Linked DNA regions of Arabidopsis thaliana. The protein of the gene in region 3 interacts with the protein of the main gene of each other region in a pairwise test. Each region holds a gene or a part of one and is shown on either strand. Other genes may lie near its edges.

Region 1 (4,925 bases), on a different chromosome or scaffold from region 3:
AATTGAATCAGAGAAGCCCAGATCAGATTTGGATACAACGATCCCAGATTCGATAAAGTTAACCAAATCTAAATTATATATATACAAATCGGGAAATTTGTGATCAAACCTTGAATCAGCTAGAATCTGAAGATTGCAGAGGTAAGAATCGGAGATCAAAAAAAGTTCTTCTTCTACTATTTTGTAAGCTTTTGAGGTTCCTTCCTTAAAGCAGATGGGTGGAGAGAAGAAGAAGAAGAAAAGTATGCGGGAAACAATGTCAAAACTGTAAATATGATGATCTAAATTATTAATAACTTTTAATATAACAAATATTAAAATGAAAACTATATAGTAATGTTTTCTTTTACTTACCCAAACGGCTGCAGCCTCTACCGTAATGGCACCGAACACGTCACCGCCATTAGCCACGACGCCAAAGACGAACATTGTTGAAGACTTGAAATCCACAAAGATGTTTTTAAACGAGAAAAAAAAAAACTCAAACGGGCTTAGGGCCTTTCCATATATTTTAGATTATAACAATTACATTTTCTCGGCCCACAGAAGTATATAAAATTAAATAGAAGTAAATTATATTGAGGATTTAAAATAACAAATTTAATTATAATTTGAAATCATGGTTATAATACGATCGTGTGAAATGTTAATTAAATGCTTATATTGATTATTTTATTATTAAATTTGTGCTAATTTTGGTAACGAATCTTATTTTTGTTATTGTATACGATGATTTAAAATATATATATATATATATATATATATATATATATATATATATATATAATAGTTCTAGAAAAGTCTAATTGGATTTTTTAGATCCTATCATAGTTGATAGTTCTCTTTTTGTATATGGCTAGCAATGCGGAATCGACTCTCTACATTAGATTCAATGAAGGCTTGGAATGTGAACTTGAATCGAACATGTGTGTTATGTAACACTCTTATCGAGACACGAGAGCACTTGTTTTTCAGCTGTAAGTACTCGTCGGCAGTCTGGTCCTCCCTAGCGAAACCACTACTCTAGTGACGATTCTCTACAATATGGCAAGCTCTAGTCATTATTATTACTTCTGATCACTGTAACAGAATCCATATATTCTTCCTCTAATACAGTTTTCAAATAATGGTTCATTCGATTTGGCGAGAACGCAATAAAAAAAACACACAATAAAACTCTGATTCTTATCACACATCTTCCTAAGTGAATAGATAAGCTGGAAAAAAAAAAAACTCTCAATCATTTGAAAGGAGAAATATAGTAGATACGAACCAAATCTCCAAACATGGTTTGCATCTAAAAGTCCTTAAAACCTCTCTTGTATAATCTAATTTCAAAACAATTTTGGAAAAGTTACATTTGATGTATCCTAACTTTATTTTTTCTTGGTCGAATTTAATATTTTATTAAAAATAATAATAGTAATAATCACAAAATCTAATTTGATCATTCTTAGGTGGGTAGGTACACTTATTTTACATACAGCCTCGACGGCACCAAAACATAGAATATATATATAAATACAAATACAAATATTCCAAATATAACCTCTCTCCCAAAGTCCTATCATATCAGAAAAAAAAAAAAAAATCCAAATTCAACACTCTCACACTTCGATATCTCCGCCTTCATTCTCCTCAGAGCCAACTGTCCTGAGATTTCGATTTCGATTTCTCCGATCTCTCTTCCTCCGTCGCCGGCGAAACCATGTCTCAGTCTATTCAATTCTCCACTCCTTCACACACTCCTCACCTTCTCCATCTCCCTCACTCACAATTCAACCGTCCTCTCTCCTCTATCTCCTTCCGTCGCTTCCCTCTAACAACCATCAAATACACTTCCATCAGAGCCTCCTCGTCATCATCTCCTTCACCGGATCTCGATTCATCGTCCTCATCATCATCCTCGCAAGTACTTCTCTCACCTAACGGTACTGGTGCTGTGAAGTCTGATGAGAGATCCGTTGTCGCTACGGCGGTTACGACTGATACGTCTGGGATTGAGGTTGATACTGTGACGGAAGCTGAGCTTAAGGAGAATGGATTTAGAAGTACGAGGAGGACGAAGCTGATCTGTACGATCGGACCGGCGACTTGTGGATTTGAGCAGCTTGAGGCGCTTGCTGTGGGAGGTATGAATGTGGCAAGGCTTAATATGTGTCACGGTACGCGTGATTGGCACCGCGGTGTGATTCGTAGTGTTCGGAGGCTTAATGAGGAGAAAGGCTTTGCGGTTGCTATTATGATGGATACTGAAGGTAGTGAGATTCATATGGGAGATCTTGGTGGTGAAGCTTCAGCTAAAGCAGAGGTTGTTTAATCTCTTCTTATTTTGATTTGAATTCGATGTAGACATTGCTGTGTTTGTGATTTAGATGTTTAAGCTTTGGTGGTGATGACATTTTTACAGGATGGTGAGGTTTGGACTTTCACTGTTAGAGCTTTTGATTCTTCTCGTCCTGAACGTACCATTAGTGTTAGCTACGATGGTTTCGCTGAAGGTATATGCAATTATGTTTATGTAAAAGTGGAAGTGAAAACATTAGATGAATATTATGGTGACTGCGTATGAAATAGGAATCATTTGGTCTTTGTGTGTGGTGTAGATGTAAGAGTTGGGGATGAACTTTTGGTTGATGGTGGGATGGTGAGATTTGAAGTGATTGAGAAGATTGGTCCTGATGTTAAGTGTCTATGTACCGATCCTGGATTGTTGCTTCCTCGAGCTAACTTGACGTTTTGGAGAGATGGAAGTCTTGTACGAGAGCGTAATGCCATGCTTCCAACAATTTCTTCCAAGGTTTGTAATTTTGTATCTTCCCTTTAAGCTTTGAATTATGATTCACTTTACTTGGTAAATTTGGGAGGGATCAAAGCAATGGTGAAGATGTACACTTTTGGAAACTAGATGAGTCCATGTTAGCAAAACAGATGATACCTGAGGGAAAACATACTCATTTTCACTGATGATACCTCAATTCTTTATATTCAGGACTGGTTGGATATTGATTTTGGAATTGCTGAAGGTGTGGATTTCATTGCTGTATCGTTTGTCAAGTCGGCTGAAGTCATTAATCACCTTAAAAGTTATCTTGCTGCTCGTTCCCGTGGAGGGTAAGTAAACATGCTCAATATCAACACATCATACTACTGTACAGGAAACATATGATCTACTTTGGGATTGGGTTTTGCGTCATGTATTCACCATCTTTAGTTATAGTTTTATTTTGATGTTGTATTCAACTATGATGCAGGGAAATTGGAGTGATTGCAAAGATCGAGAGTATCGATTCACTGACCAATTTGGAAGAAATTATTCTAGCATCAGATGGGGCCATGGTTGCAAGAGGAGATCTGGGAGCTCAGATACCTCTTGAGCAAGTTCCAGCAGCTCAACAGAGAATCGTCCAAGTATGCAGAGCTCTTAACAAACCCGTCATTGTCGCTTCACAGCTATTGGAGTCCATGATTGAGTACCCAACTCCAACCAGAGCAGAAGTTGCCGACGTGTCTGAAGCAGTAAGACAAAGATCAGATGCATTGATGCTCTCTGGAGAATCAGCTATGGGACAATTCCCAGACAAGGCGCTCACGGTTCTAAGGACTGTCAGTTTAAGAATCGAGAGATGGTGGAGGGAAGAGAAACGCCATGAGTCTGTACCGCTTCAAGCCATAGGCTCTTCATTTTCAGACAAAATCTCAGAAGAGATCTGTAACTCAGCTGCTAAAATGGGTAAATTTAGGTTCTTTGTTTTCCATAGAAGGCAATATGTCTTTAGTGTCTCATTTTACTATCCAAAAACTTGCAGCTAACAATCTTGGAGTGGACGCGGTTTTCGTTTACACAACGAGCGGACACATGGCATCACTGGTCTCCCGATGTCGCCCGGACTGCCCGATCTTTGCTTTCACAACCACAACCTCAGTGAGAAGACGCTTAAACCTACAATGGGGACTTATCCCATTCCGTCTCAGCTTCTCAGACGACATGGAAAGCAACTTGAACAAAACATTCTCGTTACTGAAATCAAGAGGTATGATCAAATCTGGTGACCTCGTGATCGCAGTCTCGGACATGCTGCAATCAATCCAGGTAATGAACGTCCCGTAATTCTCTCTCTTTATACAATTTCGCAATCCCGCAAAAGAGTGTTTTGTTTCCTACTTTTGTTACTGTTTTTAGACTACTCTTACATTAGATTCCAGAGGCATCATCATCTTCGGTTTGTTAACAACAGTAATGTGTAAGCTTTGTTTGTAGTGTGTACTGTTTGTTTTTGGTTTTCAATAATATCAGTAATCTTATTCAAATATTCGATTCTATCATTTAGTCCTTTTGTTTTATCTTTTTGTTAGGATATATATGTAAACCCAAATAGGATGAGTTCGAATATATACCATAACCCTATATTATAAATAGTGTATATATAATCACAATTAGAATCGCCTCTCCATTAGAGAAGATATTTGAACAAACATGAAAAGTTGCAAGAGACCTCGGATGAAGAATCAAGAGAGAGATTTTTATGAAACTCCGTCGGATTGTTCGGAAGAAGAGATTCAACGGAGTTGCGAGTTCGTGAAAAAAGTTAAAGAGTTGGATGATAAGACAATCATCGTTAAATTTTTAAATGCAATGAAGTCTTATCGATCTAAGTCTTTAAGTTACATCGATCTCAAAACCAAAGTCGCTTCTATTCTTCGTAACCACGACGCTCTGCTCCAAGAATTCCATCAGCTTCTTCTATTAGATTCACCTATCACAGAGAAGGATTGTAACTCGGCAAAATCAGACGTAGAACGCACGGTTGAGTTGATGAAGAAAGTGGAAGGTTTGGGAAAGGGTTTACACGGTGCGTTCCTAAATCAGCTGGTGTTTGGCGGTGATATTGTGGATTTGGTTGAACAACTCGACGTGATTCTCT
Region 2 (4,846 bases), on a different chromosome or scaffold from region 3:
CATATTTCTGACGAATACTTTTTGTTGCATTATCCAAATTTTTACATGTTCCCGAGCCGAGAGTCTAAGACGACGATTTCCAAATTATTGTCGTTGCTGTTATTATAATTGTTAATAATAGTAAGAATTATTATTATTATTTAGGACACGCAAGATTCCACATGATACTGCTTAAGCACTACGTCGAGCTAAAATGAAATACTCGATTTAAATGAACTACCCCATTAGTTACTTGAAGATGAAACGAAACAATTTGGTTTTGGTCTTTTGGATCATATAGTTAAACGTTATGTATCTTACTCAGTTTATTTTAATGAAGTTTGTTGTTTGGTATATCAATTAGCCTTAGATGTCAAATCAAAACGAAACAAAAACATGAAAATTCAATTTGGCGTTAAATCAAAATAATAATTAATATTCCATGGATAATTAATATACACTTAGCAAATTACCGAAGTACCCTTGCTATCTCGTTGTCGTCAATAATCAAAATTACAGTATTAACCCAATTAAGAGCGTTTAGCGTCTACGTGTAAAGCGGTATCAGGAGAAAGGAGCAGCGATCACATGGGTGGCTTAAATCTATATCCTCCGGTTCCTCACCGGCCAATTATTCTCGCGCGTGTCTCCGCTCCTCTCTGATGCGCGTCACTCAAAAAGTTTGAGTCAAACTCCAGTAATATTTTTGATTTATTTTGTATTTTCAAGAATTTCTTAAAAATTGCTGTTACGTAATTTACAATGCAATGTCTCGCGGTAAAGGTAGAGCCGGAACTCAAGTCAGATCAATCTCCGTGTATGATTGTGTTCGCATCCAATGTTAATAATTTCAGGATTTGTATTTTCCAAGTTAAAGGATACTATTGTTAACTAACGTATATGCTGACAAAAAAAATAAAAAAATAACGAATATTATAAATTTATATCAGTCGCATAATGAAATGTGTAATTTCACCCAGACAAAAATATCTCTACAGAACAAAAAAAAAACGTTTGTTATATATGTTTATTCTGTATATTTAAAATGTAGTCTAACGTTTGTTCTATATGTCTACAATGTGTATTTATATTTAAAACATATTCCATCCTTAATTTGCTTTATATTATTGTTACACCATTCATAGTAATGGAAGAAATATCTATTGGCATTCTATACTTTATGATATATATATATATATGAACCAAAGTATTGTATGTCCAACTGGGACATTTTATATGACGGCGGACGAATAAAGCTTAGCAGATATATATGTACGTGCTGGTAACTCCATATTCATTATTTTGGATTTAAGTTGTAACTCCATACACAATACACATTGATGGATTAGCATTGCATTTTTTTTATGGCATTTTATATCAAAAGATTCTCAATCAAAACTTAGATAGATTCCTAAAGCTTGTAATTAAAGCATCAAACATATTTGTTAACCAGTTATTATTTTTGAAATCGAGTAGTGTTTTGTTGATGCTACATATTATTCCATCATAAAAAGAAAATTAATGTGTGTGTAAGTGTGTTTGAAATAAGTCAATATCTTAGTACAGTAATTAACTAATTATACGAAGAAGAACTATAAGGGTAAAAACGGTAATTACAGTATTTGGTCAGCCATAGTTATTCCCGCTCGTCTCTTGAAAAAAATTCAAACCGGTAAACCATTTTGGTCATACACGTTACAGTAACACGGTGGTCTGGTCTTCAATAATAACCACGTCAGCAGCATACAGTAAAAACTACTTTAAATGTTTTTTTTTATTCTCACCCAAGAAAATAATTTATTTTTGTTTTGTCGTTCTCCTTCCTAAATAATTTTTCAACTACCACAATTAATTTAAAAATTAAAAATAGAGTATATTTGGAAAGGCACAAAAAAAAGAAACAAAATTCAAAATCTGAAATTTCTCAGCCTCCTCGTTTCTTCACCCAGAGGAGAGAGAAATCTGAGGAATTCGATCTTCGCTTAAAGAAGACGAAACAATCTCTCTCTCTTTCTCTCTTCAATGGTCTCACCATCTCTGTCTACCATCTCCTAGCCAAAGAAGAAGACGAGAAGAAGAAGAGAGGGTCACAACAATGCTTTATTCTTCTTATGTCTCCAGCCATGTGAGCTCCCACTGACACATTCTCTGCATCTTCGGAAGTTTTGTTTTGGTTTGATTCTTCTCACCGATTCCTGCGACCGAGTTTGACCCTCGAGTTTCGAGGTTAGTGGATGGCTTCATCCTCATCGAGAACTAGAAGCAGTAGACCTCCAAGTCCCGCTTCTTCCACTTCTTCTTCTCATCTCAGCAACCGTCTCATTCCTCGTTCTAACTCTACCTCTGCTTCCTCATTGATTACCTCCGCCGCCGGAATCGCCTCCCGATCTATGACGCCTAGTCGCACCTTCTCCGACTCGGGCCTTATCGGCTCCGGCAGCTTTGGAATTGGATCGCCTGTTCCCTACCCGTCAGAGGAGCTTCTCGGTGACCCTATGGACGATACTATTAGCTCTGAGCGGGATAGTATCTCCGTCACCGTTCGTTTTCGTCCGTTGAGGTATGCTAGATCTGATCTCGCCATGGACCAGATCTATTGCAGAGATTACAGTTTTCATGTAGATGCAATTGGAGTCAATTCTTTATTGGGGTTTGCAAATTCAAGTTTTTATCTTTGTGGGTTTGCAGTGATAGAGAGTATCAAAGAGGAGATGAAGTTGCTTGGTACCCTGATGGTGATACATTGGTTAGGCACGAGTATAACCCACTCACAGCTTACGCATTTGGTATTTGGTTCACCTCTCAATTATTCTGAATGTTTTCTTGTAATCATTGAGTGAATGTTTTCCAAATTTGTTTTGATGCCAGATAAAGTTTTTGGACCACAGGCAACTACTATTGACGTTTATGATGTAGCTGCGAGACCAGTAGTCAAGGCAGCAATGGAAGGTGTTAACGGTAAGTAACATTGCTGCAAAATTCAGCTTTACCAAAATCTGTATCTTTTATATAGAAATATCCTCTAAACCAATTGGTCCGCAAGTAGTATTGCTTGCAACATATTTTCTGACTCAGGGTTGGAATTTTGACAGGAACCGTTTTTGCTTACGGTGTTACTAGCAGTGGAAAGACACATACAATGCATGTAAGGGTTTTAAAAAAGAAGAATCCTTATACGCCTTTCTCTCTAGTTTTTCTTCAAAACACATGTGCTATGAATTGGGATCTCTTCTTCAACTTGGTCCCCCTTTGGTATCTGCTGGTTATTCTGGGTTACTCTAAACATTTACATGGTAGCAAAAGATACCATACAAATACCAACTTGCCATCATTAATTGGTGATGGTTATGTGAGTTGGAAATCCTCGTATGAATGGAATTTGAAGGTCTTCATTTAGATTGGCTGTGCTTATCTTTAGTGAAGTAGCTACGTTGGGTCTTTAGTTCCCGTCCAAACAAGTAGAACCTAAATCTGATGTTCTTTTTGTTCTGCCATTGGTTGCTTTTGCAATATGCATAGGGTGATCAAGAATCTCCTGGGATCATACCGCTAGCAATAAAAGACGTGTTCAGTATCATCCAGGATGTAAGTGGTCTTAACGGGGTTCATGTCTTTTCTCATCTCATCACGACTTTTTTATATGATTTCATGCTCGCTAACTGGCTACATTTTTATATTTCAGACTCCAGGAAGGGAGTTCCTGCTCCGTGTTTCATATCTTGAAATATACAATGAGGTAAGTGGAACTTTTTATCCTTGATATATTTACTTGGTAATCCCTGAAAAGTAGATATTTTTAGATTGGGATATGTTTTCTAGTTCTTCTGCCTTATCTTTGAGAACTAGAATGCTTAAAAATATAGAGAATTGGGTGACTGTTCATGATCTTCTTGGTTTTACATGTGTGCTTCTATGTTTCAGATATCCGCAGTTTATCTGATAACCGTCTTTGTATCAGGTGATAAATGATTTACTGGATCCAACAGGCCAAAACTTACGTGTTAGAGAGGATTCCCAGGTTTGCTTCAACCTCTATAGAATGCTTGGCTTTCTCCCATTTCTCTCTCACACACGCACACACATTGTGCTCTACTAGAATAAATGTGAACAAATTAGCTTAGAATCACATGTGAATTTGATATCATTTGAGAAAAGATATTGATTCGTTTTGCGTTTTGTTTTTCTAGGGCACTTATGTTGAGGGTATCAAGGAAGAAGTTGTTTTGTCTCCTGGCCATGCACTATCATTCATTGCAGCTGGGGAAGGTTATTAGATAATTTAACCCCTGAAACATGTTTTGATTTTGTCAACTCTGTCCTTCCCGCCTCTACTTAACATTGCTGTTGTTTTTAATTGCAGAACATCGTCATGTTGGTTCAAATAATTTCAATTTGTTGAGCAGCAGAAGTCACACTATATTTACACTGGTACGTCTTCATGCTCCAAGCTCCAAGAGCTTGTCATATTGTAATTTGTAGCCTCTTTTCAGTGTCTCGGCATGATGTTTTGCTCTTACAAGGTGTCCTTACAATGTACATGTTTTGAAGTCTAATTTGTATGTGTTTGCAGATGGTTGAAAGTAGTGCTACTGGAGATGAATATGATGGAGTTATCTTTTCTCAACTCGTAAGGGCCTCTTTCTTTTTGTTATTGTATAAGATCAATTAGTTTTGAAAATGGGACCTAACTGTATATTTTCTTGTTTAGAATTTGATTGACTTAGCTGGATCTGAGAGTTCGAAAACTGAAACAACTGGATTGAGGAGGAAGGAGGGTTCATACATCAACAAGAGTCTTCTAACTCTTGGAACTGTAGGTGTCTATTTTTGATTCGAGCTATCTTTCTATTTTTCATCTGTTTCTTTA
Region 3 (5,279 bases):
AAAAAAATATGAGGACCCTGTGCATTGGCACCTCTGGCACTCCCCTAGAGCCGGGCCTGCAATCTAGTCATATAAATTTTTCTGAAAGGTTGATTATACATAGTCTCATGTAAACTAAAAATGGTTTACACAAGCATTCATCTTAATACTCAATCACGTATAATAACTAACATACTCAGTCCTTGTTTAAACACTTGTTATCTTATAACCCTATTACTTTGTTACTTCGCGAGCATGCTATCTAATTTTTACATATAAGTGATATAAACATACAATAACTATATGTCTATATCCATGAACCTTACTTTATAAGACAATCATGAACCATAACCATGCATGGAAAATATGCGGATGTGTTAAGAAATTTTTATCGACATTAGCTATTCGAGTTAATTTATTAAGTGGTTTGTATTTGAAACTATATATGTACACTGTACACAGAAGAAAAAATAATTTTAGGATACCACATATGGTTGATCAAGGAACAAAAAAAAAGAAAAGATGGAGTAGAATAAGCCAATAGTTTTGAAAAGTGGAGCAGGAAGAAGCGTAATGGAAATGATAAAGTTTTGTTATAGTAGACATTATCCATTTCTGCATACATCATCCATTATCTCACTTTAACTGCTCCTATGATTTTTCACAAGAAAAAATAATAAGAAATTAATTAAGATGTAAACAAAACTGAAAACCAAAAACCATCCGTTGAGGAAATATCCTTGTACACACTATAAACCCCACAGTAATATGATATAAAAATATTTTCCTTAACAATAAAATGAAATATTTGGGTATAGGTCAATGACCAAACTGTGGATCAACTAAAGTAAATATATTTCTATTATTGGAATGGAAGTTCACACTTAACTCAGAGTCCTTTCTGGATATATCAAATCCGATCAGAGAATTTTTCCTGAATGATCTGTCATTCAGTCAAATTAACTAACCCTTAAGACCCAAAAATGCAATAGACCTTTGTTAGAGGTGGAGGTAACCCTGGCCGAAGACGTAACCATGGCCTAATAGGTTTATGTCATAATAAAAATAAATTAAAAACATTATCTATCAATTTATTCCAACATAACTAAATGTTTTTTCTACTCCTACATTTTTCGTAATATACATTTATTGGCATTTCGTAAAGCTAAAAACTTATAAATTTTATCAAACAACATCTTTGATTACAATTGATTAATTTCTCGTAATCTCTCTTTCTCTTGTAACTGGATCTTCAGAGCCAAAACTAAGTTAAAATCTTAATTTAGCCATTAAGTGAAATATGTAGTGATAAAAAAGCTTCCCCTTAAAAAATCGTCTCCAACTTGTTTGACTAATATAACAAATCCACTACACTTATTAGTTAATGATTTGATAACTCCAAACTAGTCCGTAATTTTTAAATCGCTTACGCTAACAATATTGTATCTTCAAATTTACTAAGATATATTTTGTTTTTCCGAGTCAAATGTGATACCACATGTACATATATCTTTACAATGGAGTCAAAAGAGAAGACATCATGACGCAAAACCCCAAATTTTGAGTAGAGTGGTTAGGGCAGTTGATGAAAGAACGTCCCTACTCTTTCCTCTTCATCCTTTATTTATCAGCTTATCCTTAATCGAAAGCTAGAAAACAAAACCGCTATTTCACATTTTCTAATCGTTATTCAAATAATAAGTTTGTGTGAGTCTAAAAGTTAGATAGCAAAAGTTGCAAAACTATTGAATTTATTTTTCCATGTTTTTTTCGGAAATACTGTAATGTGATGAGTATAATTGGATCTGTTAGTTTGTTGGTTTTAATTAGAGGTTACTACTATAGAACATTTTATAGTTTTAATGTTTCTATAACCAACCAAAAATCCATTAGATCAAAGTATCCGAATTCAAATATCGTGTCAAAAAAAACACGATCATGCAATATACATTTAAGTGTCATAAATTAACCGTTACGTATTACATTGTGACCTATATGATAGTTACATTTATTTATTATACTTATATAAGCATAGTCCGTCCCTATCTCATATGTATAAATAAGACCCAACCCATCCATCATTGTTTTGCCTCCTAAAATCTTACAACACAAAAAAAAAAAAAACATTTAGTTAAATCCAATGAGAGACTCTTCAACAACTGCATCCACCAAATCCTCACCGTTATGGAAACCCTTTGCCTCAAACTGTTGTTCCGTTGATGACCAAACCGTCTTTGGCAATCTCAGCCGTTGCCGACCTTCGAGATCAGAATTCTCCAAGAACCATCTCGGACCACTTCCTTCTTTTCGGCGACTCTCCTTTGCTGATCTAAGCCGTTCTTCTTCGGCTAGGATCAATGAAGATCTTGCACAGACTCTTGGAGCCGACTTAGTGGATTTTCAGATGTGTGAACTCAAGATGATCACTCAGAGTTTCTCCGGGAACTATCTTCTCGGAGAAGGTGGGTTCGGTAAAGTGTATAAAGGTTATGTTGATGATTATCTCCGACAAAGTCTCAAGGCTCAGCCTGTTGCTGTCAAGCTATTGGACATTGAGGGGCTTCAAGGACATCGTGAATGGCTTGTAAGAACGTTTACCAATAATTGCATGCTAATTATTGTGTTATTTTTCTTGTTACTGTTCAGTAATTATTATTTAGTTATGACATACATTTGATTACGCATACGTATATGGTTTAAGTTATAGGACATCCCAAATATTATTCTAAAATTACAAACCACTCCTCATGGTTTTTATATTTTGAAGATTCTTTGGACTCATTTATTTTTAATTACTTTAGGCTAGGAAACTATATTAAAAAATGTGTTTGGTCATAATATGGACTAATTAAGTACGCATACGATACGAGCTTGTTGTTTCTTTTTTTGGTGTCACGTACATTGTAAGAGAATCTTTTTCTTGTTAGTCTGATATATGTAAGAGTTGGTTAGACCACTTTCGTATACTCTTATATACACCTATCATCTTAATTTAGTCTCTAAGAATATAATTAATTAAAAACATCTGATACATAATATGTTTTTGGTTCATATGCAGTCTGAGGTCATATTTCTTGGACAGCTAAAACACCCGAATTTAGTCAAACTTATTGGTTACTGCTGCGAAGAAGAGGAACGAGTACTCATCTACGAGTTTATGCCACGTGGTAGCCTAGAAAATCACCTCTTCAGACGTAAGAACATTTTTAATAATTAAAATTTAATTCGTATCTTAATGTAATTTTTACTGTATTAAGTGATCAGTATTTCATTTTACTTTCATATTAACGTAATTAAATTGTCAGGGATATCACTATCGTTGCCGTGGGCGACGCGGCTGAAGATAGCGGTCGCAGCTGCTAAGGGTTTGGCGTTTTTGCATGATTTGGAGAGTCCAATCATTTACCGTGATTTCAAAACTTCTAATATACTACTTGATTCGGTAATTTACTAATTTTAGTTTGATTTTTTTTTTTTCAGCGTACAAAATTATCCTAAATACATTCTTCAAAAATATATTTTCTTATTATTACATGGGGGTTTTCAGGATTTTACTGCAAAACTCTCAGATTTTGGGTTGGCAAAAATGGGACCAGAAGGATCCAAATCTCATGTCACAACTCGAGTCATGGGCACTTATGGTTATGCTGCTCCTGAATATGTTTCAACAGGTTTATACACAATGATTTCATTGTCTGTTTTTTCAGTATTTATTCAAATCATTAGGGTCCTTTTAAAAAAAAGGATATAGTTTCCTTCTCATATATATATCTTCCATTGCTTTCTCTTACAAAGAGACCATTTTGATAGAGTCATTTTGAGGATTACACAGAACATAGAAATAAGTAAAACATATAAATCTGTAATGCGTCAAAATTTGAATGAATAGGAATTAATTAATTTTATGGGATTCTAATTTTTGATTAATTTTTCTTTTCTTAACTCAACAGAGCTTTATTAATAAGAGTGGACATAGTCATGGTGTAATCAGAATCTAATTTTGATTAATTATCTAACGCATGTGAGCATTATTTTCAGGGCATTTAACAACAAAGAGTGACGTGTATAGTTATGGCGTCGTTTTACTCGAGCTCCTAACGGGAAGAAGAGCCACAGAAAAGTCACGGCCAAAAAACCAGCAGAACATCATCGACTGGTCAAAGCCTTATCTAACAAGCAGCCGCCGACTCCGATGTGTTATGGACCCGAGGCTCGCTGGACAATACTCCGTCAAGGCGGCTAAAGATACAGCTCTTCTAGCCTTACAATGTGTGAGCCCAAACCCTAAAGACCGGCCCAAAATGCTTGCCGTTGTGGAAGCTCTAGAGAGTCTCATACATTATAAGGACATGGCGGTTTCTTCTGGTCATTGGCCACTGTCTCCTAAATCTCAGGGCGGGAAGGTTTCCCCGAAGGTTCGAGGGGATCATCGGAGTGGTAGAAAATCAGCTCCGGGTTCGTTAAGATCGTGAACTTAGGGTTGAATGACCTTATAAAAAAAGAGAGAAAATAACATGTGTGATGTGGTGTGTGTGTATGTGTGTATACGGTCATACGTCTAAGAGTGACATAGTGAGAGACATATGACTCTCACTAAGAAAAAACAATGATATGAATATATAAATATTGTAGATTAGGGTTTTCGTATAAAATATTTAATCCAATTGGCTTTGATATAGTTTTGCGTTTTTCATTGTGAATATCACATCTGTAGATCATTCATGGTGTATAGTATCACTTAATTGGATCTAGTAATATCATATCATCTAACATATGTTTGCGTAATAGATTGAGGTCTTTTAAATACACTCTTTCATTTGATCAGATTCTAGAATTTTTTTTAAATAGTTTTAATGCAATATTTTGGATATATGCTAATTAATTAAAACTAAATGGGCCGGGCTACTTGACCCTAACCATAAGCCAAGCCCATAGAAGGCGTAACCCGTAATTCAGAAGCCCTAGGTTTCAGAGAAAGTATAAATACCTTATTTCAGTTTTCATTTTACCCCAAACATTAATATCTCTACTCATATCGCCGACTTAAAGGTACATAAAGTTTCTCTTGATTCTTTCGATCTTGCTTCAGGAATCAGGACACTGGTTCATCTCTTACCTCATTTGATTTTCATCATTAGGTTTCAATTTATGTGCGCTTTGTCTGTTAAATTTTCGTAATTTGCCTTGGTTGATCATAGTTTCACATTCTCTAGCTGCTTAAGTTTTGTAGTATGTTGTAAAAATGTGTGTTTTGATTATGATATACTCTCAAGGTAGTTCTGGTTTATGATTCAAAATGA
Region 4 (4,940 bases), on a different chromosome or scaffold from region 3:
GTTGAGAACATGAAACCTGAACAGAAAGCCATATACTTCATTGCTTCTGACAGCATTACAAGTGCTAAGAATGCACCTTTCCTCGAAAAGATGCTGGAGAAAGGACTTGAAGTATGTGTTGTTCTTCTGAATGGGGCCTCGTTTTGTTCTTCCTTGCAAATATTCCTATTAACTCAGAGGTGATTGACATGTATTTCTTTGTATTGTGAACGTAGGTACTATATTTGGTAGAGCCTATTGATGAAGTTGCCGTACAGAGTTTAAAAGCTTATAAGGAGAAGGATTTTGTAGATATCAGCAAGGAAGACTTGGATCTAGGCAAGTGCCTGATGTAATTCCTTGATTTAGCATGTCAGGTAATCACTTATGTATAATAACAAATTCTGGCTTTGATCTTTGTATTGACAGGAGACAAGAACGAGGAGAAAGAGGCAGCAGTGAAAAAAGAGTTTGGACAGACTTGTGACTGGATAAAGAAACGATTGGGTGACAAGGTTGCCAGTGTTCAAATTTCCAACCGTCTTAGTTCTTCCCCCTGTGTTCTTGTATCTGGTAAATTTGGTTGGTCAGCCAATATGGAGAGGTAAGATCTGACCTTTTTCTTAAGCAAGGATTTCCGTTCTCCTTTTTTGCCCCTGGTGAACTAACACAGAATATGTTATCTGGACAGGCTAATGAAGGCACAATCAACTGGTGACACAATAAGCCTCGACTACATGAAAGGGAGAAGAGTGTTTGAGATCAATCCCGACCACTCAATTATCAAGAACATAAATGTGAAGTCACCATTCATCATAACTTGTACCTGGCTATTATAATTAAATCTAGGAGCCGCTTTTTGAGCTTGGCTTGTTTTTTTCTTGCACCCTGCAGGCTGCTTACAATAGTAACCCAAATGACGAAGATGCAATGAGAGCCATAGATCTTATGTATGACGCAGCACTAGTTTCTAGTGGGTTCACGGTGAGTCCTATTCTACATTAACATTCTTAACTTTTTGTTGTCTCTAGAATTGAAATAAAGTAAATACTGGTAAAACTTAATTGTTGTTTCTCAAAACTACAGCCCGATAATCCAGCAGAGCTGGGTGGGAAGATATATGAGATGATGGATGTAGCTCTTTCCGGGAAATGGTCAAGCCCTGAGGTGCAGCCGCAGCAACAGCAGATGGCACATTCTCACGATGCAGAGACGTTTGAAGCTGAAGTGGTTGAACCAGTCGAAGTGGATGGGAAGAAATGAACACAAGCCTAATGTTTTATGTCCCTGCTACGATTCTCATCATATTCTTCTTCTTTTATTAGTAGTAGCAGTAAAAGTAGAACCCCAAAACTCAGAACAATAGGCAATGAGCGAATGATAATCTCTATTTATGTTGGAGAGATTAATAATTGATTGAGCTTGTTTTTGTTCCAGTTTGTGTTGATCCTCCTCGGTATAATTTTAATAACCGTTAAGAAAAATTCAGTTGGGGTGTTTTTGGAAAGATTTTTCGAGTTTTATCTAACAAAACTAAAATTTTGGGACATATGGTAATTTTTAATTAAATAGAGGGATGTTGTTATCGTACGAATTGGGTTGGTTTAAAACTTTGTTTGGACAGATTCGACTCAAACGTTGAACGCGTTTAAAAAAGTCAACAAAAGTCGAAGGTTACCGGCTGGTCAGGTTAACCGTTAGAGATTAATGAACTGGCAGCTGTATGTCTTTTTTATAGTTCTGTCTTAACAGGCAAAAAAGTGTTTAATTTATCTTTCCTTTGGGTTTCTCACGGAGTCACGGTTCCTCGTTCGTCCTCTCCCGTCGTCTCTCCGGTGAGTCCTTAATTTTCCGGCGGTCTTTTTCCCTTTCTCGTCTGTTTGGTGCTTTCTTTATGTCTGAGGCGAATACAGCAAAACGTATCTGTTTTGGTTGTTGAGTTCGAGGCTGGTCCTGAAAATTCGGTGACAAAAAGAGTCAATAACTCTCGTGATCGAGTTGGATGCGTTGTTTTGAGGGTTGATTCAGTTTATGACTATGTATTTTGGTACTTGCAAGATTTTCTGATTTTATGAAGATTCGTGTTTGACTTTTATAGCGTATAATCTACGGGGCAAACAGATTCGAGCAACTTGTTTTTTTCTAGCGCTTGTTTTGTGTTTACTCTGTCATGTGTTTGTATTTTTTGAGCTTCCACTAGTGATTAATCATCTCAGCTCAATTTGAACATAGGAGATGTAGTTTTTATCTGTCGGTGGATTTCTAGGGATTTTGCAAAATGTTTTGGGCTTTCCTGAATTAGTATGTGATTTGGTCGTAAAGTATTTTAGGGATTTATGTGTTCCTTGGGGTGAATCTGACATTGACATTATCTTGGTGTCTGCAGCACTAAATTGATGGGCACATCATCTGGGTCCAATCTTCCTCACCAGATGCTACCTCCACGTCAGCAACTACAAACATCTCTTTCGCTTGTATCTTCAGATCCCCACTTGTCACGGTCTAATTCTGGCATTGTGCGTGAATCACCAGCTGAAAGTGCTAGCTCTCAAGAAACTTGGCCAACCTCAAAATCTATTATGGGAAGGAAGACAGATAGCGGAAAGACAGGGCCTGACTCTCATGATCAACATGTGATCCGCCATGTTTCCATTGCTGATAAGGTATCGCTACGGGACATAGCTAGAGAGAGACTTGACATAGTCGCTGAGAGAATGCATCGATTACCAGAAGAATATCTCGAGGAGTTAAAGAATGGTCTTAAGGCTATCCTTGAAGGAAATGGTGCGCAGCCTATAGATGAGTTTATGTTTCTGCAGAAGTTTGTCCAGACGAGATCTGATTTAACTTCAAAGACACTTGTCAGGGCTCACCGAGTGCAGCTTGAAGTTCTTGTGGTTATAAACACTGGTATCCAAGCATTCTTGCACCCAAACATCAATCTCTCTCAGTCATCACTCATCGAGATCTTTGTGTACAAGAGATGCAGAAACATAGCTTGCCAAAACGAACTCCCGGCTGATGGTTGTCCCTGTGAGATATGCGCTAATAGGAAAGGCTTCTGCAACCTGTGCATGTGTGTGATATGTAACAAGTTTGACTTTGCAGTCAACACATGCCGCTGGATTGGCTGCGACGTGTGTTCTCATTGGACTCATACGGATTGTGCTATTAGGGATGGGGAGATTTCGATGGGAGTTTCTCCCAAGAGCGTATCTGGGATGGGAGAAATGCTGTTCAAGTGTCGAGCGTGCAACCATACTTCTGAATTGCTGGGGTGGGTGAAAGATGTGTTTCAGCACTGTGCACCAAACTGGGATAGGGAATCTTTAATGAAGGAACTTGACTTCGTTAGTAGGATTTTCCGTGGAAGCGAAGATACAAGAGGCCGGAAACTCTTCTGGAAGTGTGAGGAGCTTATGGAGAAGATTAAAGGTGGACTGGCTGAAGCAACAGCGGCCAAGTTGATACTCATGTTTTTCCAAGGTAAGCCCACTCGCTATTGTTATATGATAAGGGTTTACTCTTTATAGACCTAACCATGTTTTGTGTATGAAGAAATTGAATTGGACTCTCCAAAGAGCCTTGAAAGCGGAGAAGGTGGGGGTACGATAGCACCTCAAGATGCATGCAACCGAATTGCTGAAGTTGTAAAGGAAACACTGAGGAAAATGGAGATAGTGGGTGAGGAAAAGACGAGGATGTACAAGAAAGCGCGAATGGGGCTTGAGGAATGCGAGAGAGAGGTAGAAGAGAAAGCAAAGCAAGTGGCGGAACTGCAGATGGAGAGGCAGAAGAAGAAACAACAGATAGAAGAGGTGGAGAGGATAGTGAGGCTGAAGCAAGCAGAGGCAGAGATGTTTCAGTTAAAAGCAAACGAGGCAAAAGTGGAAGCAGAGAGATTGGAAAGGATTGTGAAAGCGAAAAAGGAGAAAACAGAAGAGGAATACGCAAGTAACTATTTGAAACTGAGGCTGAGCGAGGCGGAGGCAGAGAAAGAGTATCTGTTTGAAAAGATAAAAGAGCAGGAAAGTGGTGGGAATGGTGGTGAAGCGTCACAAGCAGTGATGTACTCAAAGATCAGAGAAATGCTGCATGGATACAATGCATCGTCGCCAAGGGTAGATCCAAGATCAAACCAGCGAAATCCTTTCAGATCCAATCCTTAGATGTTTGTATTGTCTCTCTTTGTTTGTATTAAAAAAAAAATCCGAATCAATTAAGGTTGGATTTGTGTGTGAAGTATTGTGGTCTTTGTATTCAAATTTTGCACATGATCGTCTATGTTGGGCCATAATGTTATGCAAGCTTTGACACAGAGTGTTGCCAAAATCTCGATACTTATTCACTCGGATTTAGAGAATTGTGGATTTCGCTAATGGAGGGAGATCCATGTTACCTTAAATAGTTTATATTTGAGCCAACATGAGAGCCAAAGAACATCGCCACCGACTTTAAAAAGAAAATATTTTGCCCAAATGGATATTACAGAGTAGTTATTTGCAATAACGTCCTCATGTTTGGGTTATAATAACGATTTGATTTCTTACGGGGTATAAAGCAAAAGGAATCAAAACGTTTGGGGAAATAATGTAATATTCTGGAAACAAAACGCGTATAATCGGATTGATAAGGAATATTATATCATCGCCGATGCAATCATCGACCATCGTTTTGTTTTCCTGTCTACCCAAAAACAAACCCTAGTGTCCGAATTCTCGACAAAATTCATCGGCTCCAAATTCCATTCGTGCTTTTTGAATTCGCGTTCTTCTGATTCAAGATGTTTCTTTCACCTGGTCATTCTCCTCGTCAGATTTCTTCTCCATCGCCGTCTTCTTATTCCGATGATACCCTCCGATCAACGCCTCGCAGTTCTTCCTCGGAGATCATTCCTCGAAACCCTAGAAAACGGATGAGAGTTCTCGATGAGGACGCTTATGTTGAAGCAATCGAGAAGA

Evidence for each region.
Region 1: the proteins of AT1G61590 (region 3) and PKP-ALPHA interact in a two-hybrid assay, tested with the Arabidopsis thaliana proteins (one large-scale study listed by BioGRID).
Region 2: the proteins of AT1G61590 (region 3) and AT4G39050 interact in a two-hybrid assay, tested with the Arabidopsis thaliana proteins (one large-scale study listed by BioGRID).
Region 4: the proteins of AT1G61590 (region 3) and OBE1 interact in a two-hybrid assay, tested with the Arabidopsis thaliana proteins (one large-scale study listed by BioGRID).

Annotation. Positions count from the first base shown.
Region 1 is NC_003074.8:8,137,661-8,142,585, forward strand, and holds PKP-ALPHA (Pyruvate kinase family protein), read left to right. Parts: upstream 1-1,524; 5' UTR 1,525-1,708; coding exon 1,709-2,311; intron 2,312-2,410; coding exon 2,411-2,501; intron 2,502-2,606; coding exon 2,607-2,800; intron 2,801-2,992; coding exon 2,993-3,114; intron 3,115-3,254; coding exon 3,255-3,733; intron 3,734-3,809; coding exon 3,810-4,111; 3' UTR 4,112-4,392; downstream 4,393-4,925. Other genes in the region: AT3G22961 (Paired amphipathic helix (PAH2) superfamily protein), read left to right, coding at 4,478-4,925.
Region 2 is NC_003075.7:18,191,249-18,196,094, forward strand, and holds the start of AT4G39050 (Kinesin motor family protein), read left to right. Parts: upstream 1-1,826; 5' UTR 1,827-2,213; coding exon 2,214-2,539; intron 2,540-2,667; coding exon 2,668-2,765; intron 2,766-2,847; coding exon 2,848-2,937; intron 2,938-3,071; coding exon 3,072-3,124; intron 3,125-3,498; coding exon 3,499-3,564; intron 3,565-3,661; coding exon 3,662-3,715; intron 3,716-3,937; coding exon 3,938-3,997; intron 3,998-4,166; coding exon 4,167-4,245; intron 4,246-4,339; coding exon 4,340-4,407; intron 4,408-4,549; coding exon 4,550-4,606; intron 4,607-4,687; coding exon 4,688-4,792; intron 4,793-4,846.
Region 3 is NC_003070.9:22,722,863-22,728,141, reverse strand, and holds AT1G61590 (Protein kinase superfamily protein), read left to right. Parts: upstream 1-1,951; 5' UTR 1,952-2,119; coding exon 2,120-2,563; intron 2,564-3,037; coding exon 3,038-3,173; intron 3,174-3,284; coding exon 3,285-3,421; intron 3,422-3,526; coding exon 3,527-3,650; intron 3,651-4,017; coding exon 4,018-4,451; 3' UTR 4,452-4,774; downstream 4,775-5,279. UniProt on the Arabidopsis thaliana protein: May be involved in plant defense signaling.
Region 4 is NC_003074.8:2,482,729-2,487,668, forward strand, and holds OBE1 (potyvirus VPg interacting protein (DUF1423)), read left to right. Parts: upstream 1-1,725; 5' UTR 1,726-2,257; coding exon 2,258-2,280; intron 2,281-2,365; coding exon 2,366-3,465; intron 3,466-3,537; coding exon 3,538-4,148; 3' UTR 4,149-4,398; downstream 4,399-4,940. Other genes in the region: Hsp89.1 (HEAT SHOCK PROTEIN 89.1), read left to right, coding at 1-111, 216-318, 409-583, 671-776, 874-963, 1,066-1,242; AT3G07790 (DGCR14-like protein), read left to right, coding at 4,763-4,940. UniProt on the Arabidopsis thaliana protein: Probable transcription factor that acts together with OBE2 for the maintenance and/or establishment of both the shoot and root meristems, probably by controlling the expression of the meristem genes such as WUS, PLT1 and PLT2 and of genes required for auxin responses.